Linked DNA regions of Daphnia pulex. The protein of the gene in region 1 interacts with the protein of each later gene in a pairwise test. Links are inferred from orthologs where the notes say so. Each region holds a gene or a part of one and is shown in the gene's direction. Other genes may lie near its edges.

Region 1 (5,388 bases):
TTGTGGCTCTACCTCCATATCGTGGAGAATTGATGGTTTCTCATTTTCCGTCCATTTAGTACTGGACTTGATTGCCTTGTGTCGTCGCTTATTAAACTCAAGTTAGTAAATCATGTTATCTACTGTTTCAAAATTTTTAAAAAGCTAATATTTTGTTTAATAGATGATTTCCCAGTGCTGCAGACCGCCATTCTTGCAGAATTGGCGCGTGACGAGTGTAAGTCTCCTCTATTTCAAGTAGCAAGGGAATTGATTCCCAATAATCCGATAGTTTTTGTGCGGATTTGCGCTTTGTTATTGTCGGAAAATTATCACATCCAATCCGAAAATATTGCTTCTTTTGGTGGACTTAACGGAAGTATTGCGCAAGAAGGACTTTTTCTATTGCTCTCCGGTGTGGTGGTACGCTCGAAAAACTTTCTTAAATTGTAAATTATCTTCCGACTCAGATGACTATTATCTACTTTTAGCCTAAAGAAGAAAAAAAAATCTTGAAGTTCGTTAGCTTGTATGCAGACCAAATCTTAAATCACTTCAATGAAACACCTGTGAAGAAGTTTTTTGGAAGCCTTATTCATAATGATGAGAAATACGTTCAACCACTTGTGAAGTGTGTGCTGGCGAAAGGCCAAGATTTATTGGTAAAATATCATACTGATCAGCGGATTAAGTGACTATTTATAAATTTTGTTTTTCTCACAAATTAGCAGATATCCTCGGCCATGGCTCTTTTGAATATAATAGAGAATGTCGAGCTTGTTGCGAATTCGGAAGCGATTCTTTTACATATCATTTCCAGTTTTCAGACAATTTCCAGTGGCATTGTGCACAGAAGAATGTGCAAACTTGTTCTAAACGCAAATTTCACTTCTTCTGAATCTAAGCTTCGTTGTTTGGAAAATGTACAAAAAATCGTTCTTCAGTCAGCTAATCAAAGGTTCTTGGCACTCGCCCACCTACTATCCTACGTTTTATGACATCTTCAATTTTCTTTTTTAGATGGTATTCCGAGATCACAGCAGTTCCAAGCGCTACCTTTGAAAATAGGTCTAGCATGTTGCGAGATATCGACAAGGCGTTTGTGCTGGATTTTGCGTTGAAAAGGTGGTTTAAAAATTATTTTCTGGTTTTATCTTGCTAAATCGTCTTCATAATTTAGGGAGTTAGAACCTTTAATGTGGAGAGAAATCGTCGCTCAGACAAACACAGACGACTTTCCGTTATTGTGCAGCAATCATAGTTTCCTTTTATATGTCCTTGGAAGTCGAATATTGAAATATGATGCTTTTTACCATGCCAAGGCATACCTTTTAAATATGATTACCGCCGAAGCCTTCGACAACTCTAAGGTACGCCGATTTCGGATGCTATTAATTTTTTGAACGGTTTTATCTTTTTATGAAATGAGCATCTCATTTTTTTCCATTAGATCCTGTCAATCGCTCATATTCTCAGTGCATTGTGCAAATCCATCTCACCATCGGAGGTCAACGATATTTTCACTGCATCCGAAATCACCATATTGGCTAAAACACCGCTTACCTTAATTGGTGCGATGGATTCGCTTTCCCATTCGTTAGTTCTTCTACAGGCGTCCTCTGAGATTGTTTCCATATTTGGGCGTGAACTTGCAATTGAATGGACAGACAAAGAGAATCTACCGGCTGTTTACAAGGCAATCCATTGTTTGGAGTCTCTTTGCATTCGGATAAGAAACAATGCAACTCTAGAACAACCTACTATTACCGGTAAATATCCTAAATTGTCTTCTTTAGTTGAAGATTTGATAACGAACGAATTTTCATTTAGGCCTGGAGCAAATGATTTGTCCTGATCCAAACTTTGTTTCGAGTGCGAAACAATTAAACCGAATACTTAGATTTATCGAACAAGAATCAAACATTCCAGGAATACTTCATCAAGACTTACTGTAAATTGTATTTCTGAATATTGATAAATCAATTCATTAAGATTTTTCTACTATTTTCAGGTCGACTGTTACTGTGTTTTGTCGAATGCCACTCTTCTATTCCTATATTTGCATTCCGCCATCCGCTTGGAGCAAAGGCTGGAATCCTGAGCTAAATTTGGATGTCGAACATATCACATTGGATCTACCAATAATCCCTTCACATTTTCTGCATGATGAAGTTGTTTTAAAAGAATTCGTTTTCCGGTAATTTTGGGACATTTTCTTATAAATGGATCTTGGATCATGCTGACTGCTTACTTATTCTTAAAGAATCGAGCAAATTAGCTGGATTACCAAAAAGAAATTTGAAGAAATTTGGATGACTTTTCTTGGCATTTTGAACTTACACAATGAGGATCAAGTGAGACCCGAAGAACAAGCAAGCGTCATCCAGGTATCATAACAGAGTTGGTAATTTTTTCTTACAATTTTTGAAAAACCATTTGAATTCAAAGGCTACATGTGAAGCCGTGCGAGCTCTTACAATGGTGCTTCAAAAAAATCTACCATTTAAGACGCCAAGATCTGTGAAAAATAATGAACTAGACAAGCCTCCTGAGTTCACGTCAACTGAGTAAAGCCAATGTGTTATTTAATCTCGCTTAATTATAGCTAATTGTCAATATTTTTAATGGATATTGTAGAAGGGGCAAGAAGCTGAAAGAACTCTGCAATTTGCTAGAAGAAGATTACACGATATCATCTTCCTGCAGTTATTGGCTCAATCGTCACTCCTTCAGACACATTCAATATAATATTGATCAAGGTTCACCATCCAAAAAGAAGGCTACTAGTCCCGAAGATGTTACAGATATAGATATCCAATCCTGTGTTCGCTTCTTAGTGGATCTCTACTCACAGTGGCTTCAGAATTCGGTAACCTTAATCTTCTATGTAGAAAATAATGATATTTTTCTTCAACATTTTCTTTTTTTTTCTCAAGAATACGCCGTACCCGCTGCTAGTGGACTTGTTTCAATCCCTAGTGCACATATCAAACTTCTTTGTCGATGTTCAACAGTTTGAGTGGATGCTGGATAACTCCTTAACCTTACACAGGCAACTTCTTCCTGATGATCCTGCGAGCTTAGAGTCCGCTTTAGTAGGGTGCATCTTGAAATCTGCTTCTTTTATACCCATGGTACAAAATTCATCTGAAATCTGAAGTTTTGTGATAATGTATTGTTATTTTTTCATGTCTCAGAATATGGAATACTGGGAATTAGTAAAAAAGCACTGTGAAACCGCATTGAATTCCCAGCATATTTCCACGCGAACTAGTGGATTAAATGGTCTTTTGTATCTACTTCAAAAGTTTGCCAGAAATCCAGATCTTGCTCGTACAGGCACTCTCGTCAACCTGGCTATGGATTATGTCGGTAAATGTCTCAGGTTGGTGTGATTCATCTCTTTACGTTTAAAGAAATTTGTCTGTTTATTTATTTGAAATATCATATTAAGCCCTGAACACAATGGTCCGACCTGGCATCAGTCCTTCGTTTGGTCAATAGCGTTCTATTGCGGCGAACATTTTGCAGTATTGCCCTATCAGAATTATGCTGTCGTCGATTTTGTTGTTCAGTGCGCTCTTAGTAGGCTTGTGCAAAACGAACAACAATCAAACGAGATCCCAAAAGAAATTTTACAGGTATTTCGTGAATTTATTGAAGATCTTATGTTGTAGGCTAATCTCGTTATTGATTCGTTATAGGGATTAGAACGGCTGAGCATTCTAGGCGTATTGACTCCGATTTGGCGAACGCAAGTTAAAAAAGAGGTTCTCAATTTAATACGCAATGTTGATTGTGATTGGATTCTACAGCCAGCACTACGAACTCTGCTGTCATTAGTCTATTCAGGTATAGGGTTTCATGCTGACTCTGTTTTTTCACTCCTCTCAAACCAATATTTACTTTTTCAAGATTTTGGTAGCCAATTGTATAAACCTGGAGCAGATCCTGAAACGATGCTCGCCGCTATGGAATGGGTGGGCGCCCTGTTCCAACGGTAAAGCTGAATAAGATGATTCTTGTTTACTTAGTTATTAATTTGTATCTGTTTCTTAATTTTCCATTTCCTCAGAATGAAGCGCGGAACAGATCTAGAGGCGGAGCTTTTGGGGCGAATTATGCCCGTCATAACCTGTGATATTTTCCCACCAGCAGACATCTTGAATCGTATTTTAAGTGAATTTATAACGGCAAGACCCACAGTTGCCTGTTGTTTAACTCCAACCATTTTCAAAGTAAGTCGTGGAACGTAGAATTTGTGTGGCATTGTCAACTGCCAAGATGTTTACTCTCTGGTTAATTCATTCAGGTTTTTGGAACGGCACGTACTCAAGGACAACAAAGTTTAGTCATGGAGTGGATTCTCTTAAGCCTCAGCAATTTTACCAGGACGCCTAGCGACACAGCGAATGATTCGATCTGGAATATTTTATGTTTTTTCACCGCAGCCTCCAACAACCCATGGTTGCAGTCAGTGTAAGTCATTCATCGTTCGTCTTAAATCTTTCACAGTTTCGGCATTCGAAAAATTTACTATGCTATTGCTGCTGATTCTTTTAGGTTTCCTCTCATAAACCGCCCGGTAAATCATAACGATTCTTTAGTGGAAGACGTATTTGTTGCATCTGCGCTGGATTTCAACTCTCAGGTATTTGACGAGCAAGAATAATTTAAATCTAATTTTAAATGATTCATCTATAGTTGCCTACTTTTTTTGTATATTTTCAGCTTGATGATCAACAGCGATCCACATTAGTTTCTATCTTTTATTCTGCGAGAGAAAAAAGTTCATTTTTTGCCGCTGTTGATGTTGCCCTAAAACGCTTGTGATTCCCATCGGGGATGCTAATATTGAGTCTCGTGTTTTCAAAACACGCATAAAATATGAACGAATGAATCACCCGATTAAATTGCATAGTTACTTAGATGTATCCTCCTGTCCTTAAAAGTTACGCTATATTCTAATATTCTATATTGTTGCAATGAAATTTTCAGTTCCTATATTCATCTAAATTTAATGTTTTCCCCTTTATAGATGGTATAAAAATTATCATTTGTGTTACTGCTCCTCCTATTCATTATCTTCATCCTTCGAGATGATATGCCATGCTGGCAAGTGGCAACCTGGCATCCCATTGGGTTGGGTTGCGAGGTTCTCTCAAGAAATAGGAAATAATCCAACAATATAATTAACAAATACAGAGAACAAGAAGGGAAAAGATATGAATTCTAAATACTCTTCTTCCTCTCCTCTTCCAATTCGCCGAGTTCGAGCTGTGTTGTGTCATCGTGAATCAATCAACTTTTTTAAATTTTTATTGTTTCTCTGCTGCACGAAAGTGAAGTTACGCCTAGATGCGACGTACGATAACGGTCGTCTTAAATTAAGCTCAACGTCACTGGTCT
Region 2 (3,280 bases), on another chromosome or scaffold:
AAGATATCTTTAAGATATCAAATAAATGTCAATGTAACACTGATGAAGCCTTTTGGGGAGAAAATACAGTGTTTTCGTGATATTTATTTTTAATTAATTCTGAATAAATTGCTAATTGGCAAAGAACCGTTTCGGGTGAATCCTTGAGGAACACCTGGAAAAAGTTAGCGAGAAGTTGATCAACATAAATGATAAACAATTATTACGTACAGAATACGTATACAACGTCGATTATGCGACGTTGAACGAGTCCTGTATAAATGGCTTTGACTGTCTGAATGTTTGGATATTTTGTTTTTGGTTGATGCAGCTCTGCCAAACTACACCCAATTTTGTCACAGCGGCGTGAAACCCTACAAGTACCGCTCTTTACAATATTACACGTTGTTCCCCTTTTGTTATAGATTTCGTTTTAAGGAAATTGAAACATTTTGGATTTGTAATTGATCTTAACTGGGACCATTATGGCATTTGCTAGTAAGGTTGTAATGCCCTCGGAGCTCCGTGGTATGTCTAAATTTGCTGTTATCGATTATTTGGTATTATAAATGCTCCAATCTGTTCTTTGTTAGTTTTGCTGCAGGAGGCCAAACCTTGGACACTACGTTAGGAGGCATAGGAACTCTGGTCTCTTGTTGTGTTCCATCACAAGCAGGGGCCTATGAATTTGCCATGCTGAAAATCATTAATATGGGATCCTTCCCGGCACCGAAATCTAAAATCTATAAAATCTAAAATGAATGACAAATTGAATATTTATCACTGAAGCTTTGTTGCTTGTTGGAAAAAATAAAGTCGTTTTCATGATATTGATATTACATTTTTCTTAGTATAGGATATTATTACTATAATTGTTCAAGTCTTGAATAAAATCTACAAGAAATGTTTGCTTGAAAAATGTACTGACTCATCAATCACACTAGTTCACCTGAAACGGATTGTAGGGGTCTATCAATCATAAATTAGTTACCTTAACGCACTTATCTAACGGTAAAACTCACATATTTACTAGACAAAAATTCAACGAATAAAAATGAATCCAGAATTTCCAAACAAACTCCTTTCTTTTATTTTTAAAACAAAATGTTGAATTTTCATTTTGTTAAATTATTTTGAAATATCCCGTTTTAGCATGACTGCATGAGAGAATAATAGTCAAAGTTGGCATCGGTGTCACGGTAAATAACTAAAAAACTAATCAAACGTTTGTCAACAACAATGTCGTGCCATGGCTGTGCTCGTAGCTTTGGGTTTTTAACAAAAGAAGTAAGCGAAAAAAAGTATGTGCTTAGATTAACTCTCTAATCAATAAACTTTGATTATTTCAGTATGGCTGTGAAAAATGCGGATTTTCGTTCTGCTCGAAATGTCTTGTCAAGAAAATCTGTAAGAGCTGCTTTGTCAAACAGTCAGCTGTACCACCACCCGTTGTTTCGCAAGAGTATGATGAAACAACGAAGACTTTTGTTGAATCATCATACAGCTTTTAATATTTTTGTTTGTTGTACAGGAAAAATGGAAAAGTAGAAACCCCCCACCAAAATCAAGTCACTCAAATTCCTCCTGTTGTCTTGGAACAGTATGATTCAAATAAGAATATCATTTAATGTTTCTTTATTGACCAGAACTTGTTCCTTAGGAAGTTGGAAAAACTGGAGAACCCCAACAAAAGTCCAATTGTAGTTTACACCGAAGACAGCCGAATGACCAACCTGAAAAAAGGGTTATCTTTTGAAGATCAACAGCTTGTAAATCGTCTATCCAAGCTCAAGAGTGAGATTCGGGAGATGAAGGGAGACATCCCCAGCCAGTCAGAGATTGAAGAACGCTTAGCTAAACTGAAGGGCATTGATCCTGAAGTTTACCGGAAACCAGCAGCCATTTATGTCAAACCAAAAACAAACAATGTCGATGATGCAACAGATCTTATCAACCAGATCAGAGAAGAAGTTGCAATTGACAGGCAATCAGACCTTCCTTCTGCAACTCCATCCAATCAATCAGAAGAGGTAAAACTATTATTTCTGTAAATTTATCAGATTTATTTTGAGACTTTCTAACAATTTTTCATGTTAGCAGACAGATGATGTTGAGATGTTGTTGCAAAATGAAGCCCAGGCAATACAGGCTGATGCTCAATTGGCTTTGGAAGGCCTGAAGAAAGATAGAGAAATCCAAGAAAGGTTTTTTGAATTCTAATACAACTCAATCATTTTTTACTTATCCAATTTTTGTGTTTAGATTGAACAAACTCCGATTCGATAGGGGAACTAAAAAACCAGAAGCTAAGGAAGACAAATCGAGTGACGAAGACTCTGAAGACGAAGACAAACAAGCGGCCAGGATTATCAATCGAGTCTTGGATGAAGACCGTTTGGAATTGGAAGACGAAGGAATATGCGATGAAGGAGTAGCTGCTGGCCAAGAAGAATTGCCCTGGTGTGAGCTCTGCAACGGAGATGCTCATTTGCGATGCTTTGACTGCGACGGGGATCTCTACTGCCGTCGTTGCTGGAAAGAAATCCACAAAGACGCCGATCTTAAACATCACCGTACCGAGAACTACAAAGCTCCCAAAAAATAATCACACATTCACTAATTCCTAGTCTTTTTTTTTCAATATTCCTTCCTTCTGGTTCTGGTAGTATATTTTGATTGCCTTTTTTAAAAAAGCCTTTCTCCATGCTTAACTTTATTTTCTTGTAATTTTTCTGTGATAACTATTTGTCAAGTGAATGTATCAAAGGCTTTTTTCTCAACCAATAAAAAGATGAAGCTGATCGCTTCTATGTGGTTTAAAAGAAAAAAAGCTATGCGCAACCGCGCCGGTGTAGTACGCAGACCGAAAGTCGTAGGTGGGAAAAAAGTCGAGTTCGAAGGATTTGTCGATCCTTGGCCAGACGCATCCCGCAAGTTCTTGTCGATTGTTCTGTTTCCCGTTTTGCGGTGTTGCACCATGGCTAATACTTACCTATTCCAAAGGATCTTTCTCTTGGCCGTTTTGATGGCCAACAGCTTCCGTCTCAATTCGGCCATGTTCGAGCAGCCAGACTCTCAGTCCAAGGAGCAGATGGATGCTACTCCGACCTGCTTCCGGCGTCCGTACACTTTCAAAGTCTATCAAGAGGATTCCGAGGGACGCTCCTGCTGGGATGTCGTCACCGTCACTTCTTGTTGGGGACGTTGTTCATCTAACGAGGTAAAATTTCACACTTATTTAATTGAATTTGATGTTAATTTGTGTTTCATTTGTAGATTGCAGATTGGCGCTTCCCGTTCA

What was found. The genes of interacting proteins can lie anywhere in the genome.
Region 2: the proteins of huntingtin-like (region 1) and abscission/NoCut checkpoint regulator-like interact in binary tests that used the Homo sapiens proteins (3 or more experiments, as listed by UniProt). The link is inferred for Daphnia pulex from reciprocal best matches to the Homo sapiens genes HTT and ZFYVE19.

What each region holds. Positions count from the first base shown.
Region 1 is NC_060020.1:1,046,427-1,051,814, forward strand, and holds the end of huntingtin-like, read left to right. Parts: coding exon 1-101; intron 102-163; coding exon 164-402; intron 403-470; coding exon 471-641; intron 642-707; coding exon 708-937; intron 938-999; coding exon 1,000-1,104; intron 1,105-1,159; coding exon 1,160-1,349; intron 1,350-1,429; coding exon 1,430-1,748; intron 1,749-1,809; coding exon 1,810-1,930; intron 1,931-1,990; coding exon 1,991-2,176; intron 2,177-2,242; coding exon 2,243-2,366; intron 2,367-2,427; coding exon 2,428-2,546; intron 2,547-2,616; coding exon 2,617-2,848; intron 2,849-2,915; coding exon 2,916-3,113; intron 3,114-3,176; coding exon 3,177-3,364; intron 3,365-3,433; coding exon 3,434-3,620; intron 3,621-3,683; coding exon 3,684-3,831; intron 3,832-3,894; coding exon 3,895-3,979; intron 3,980-4,054; coding exon 4,055-4,217; intron 4,218-4,291; coding exon 4,292-4,458; intron 4,459-4,542; coding exon 4,543-4,630; intron 4,631-4,710; and 3 more.
Region 2 is NC_060026.1:13,058,967-13,062,246, reverse strand, and holds abscission/NoCut checkpoint regulator-like, read left to right. Parts: upstream 1-1,182; 5' UTR 1,183-1,218; coding exon 1,219-1,266; intron 1,267-1,328; coding exon 1,329-1,441; intron 1,442-1,510; coding exon 1,511-1,579; intron 1,580-1,639; coding exon 1,640-2,009; intron 2,010-2,076; coding exon 2,077-2,183; intron 2,184-2,241; coding exon 2,242-2,584; 3' UTR 2,585-2,770; downstream 2,771-3,280. Other genes in the region: uncharacterized protein LOC124204257, read left to right, coding at 2,771-3,199, 3,256-3,280. UniProt on the Homo sapiens protein: Key regulator of abscission step in cytokinesis: part of the cytokinesis checkpoint, a process required to delay abscission to prevent both premature resolution of intercellular chromosome bridges and accumulation of DNA damage.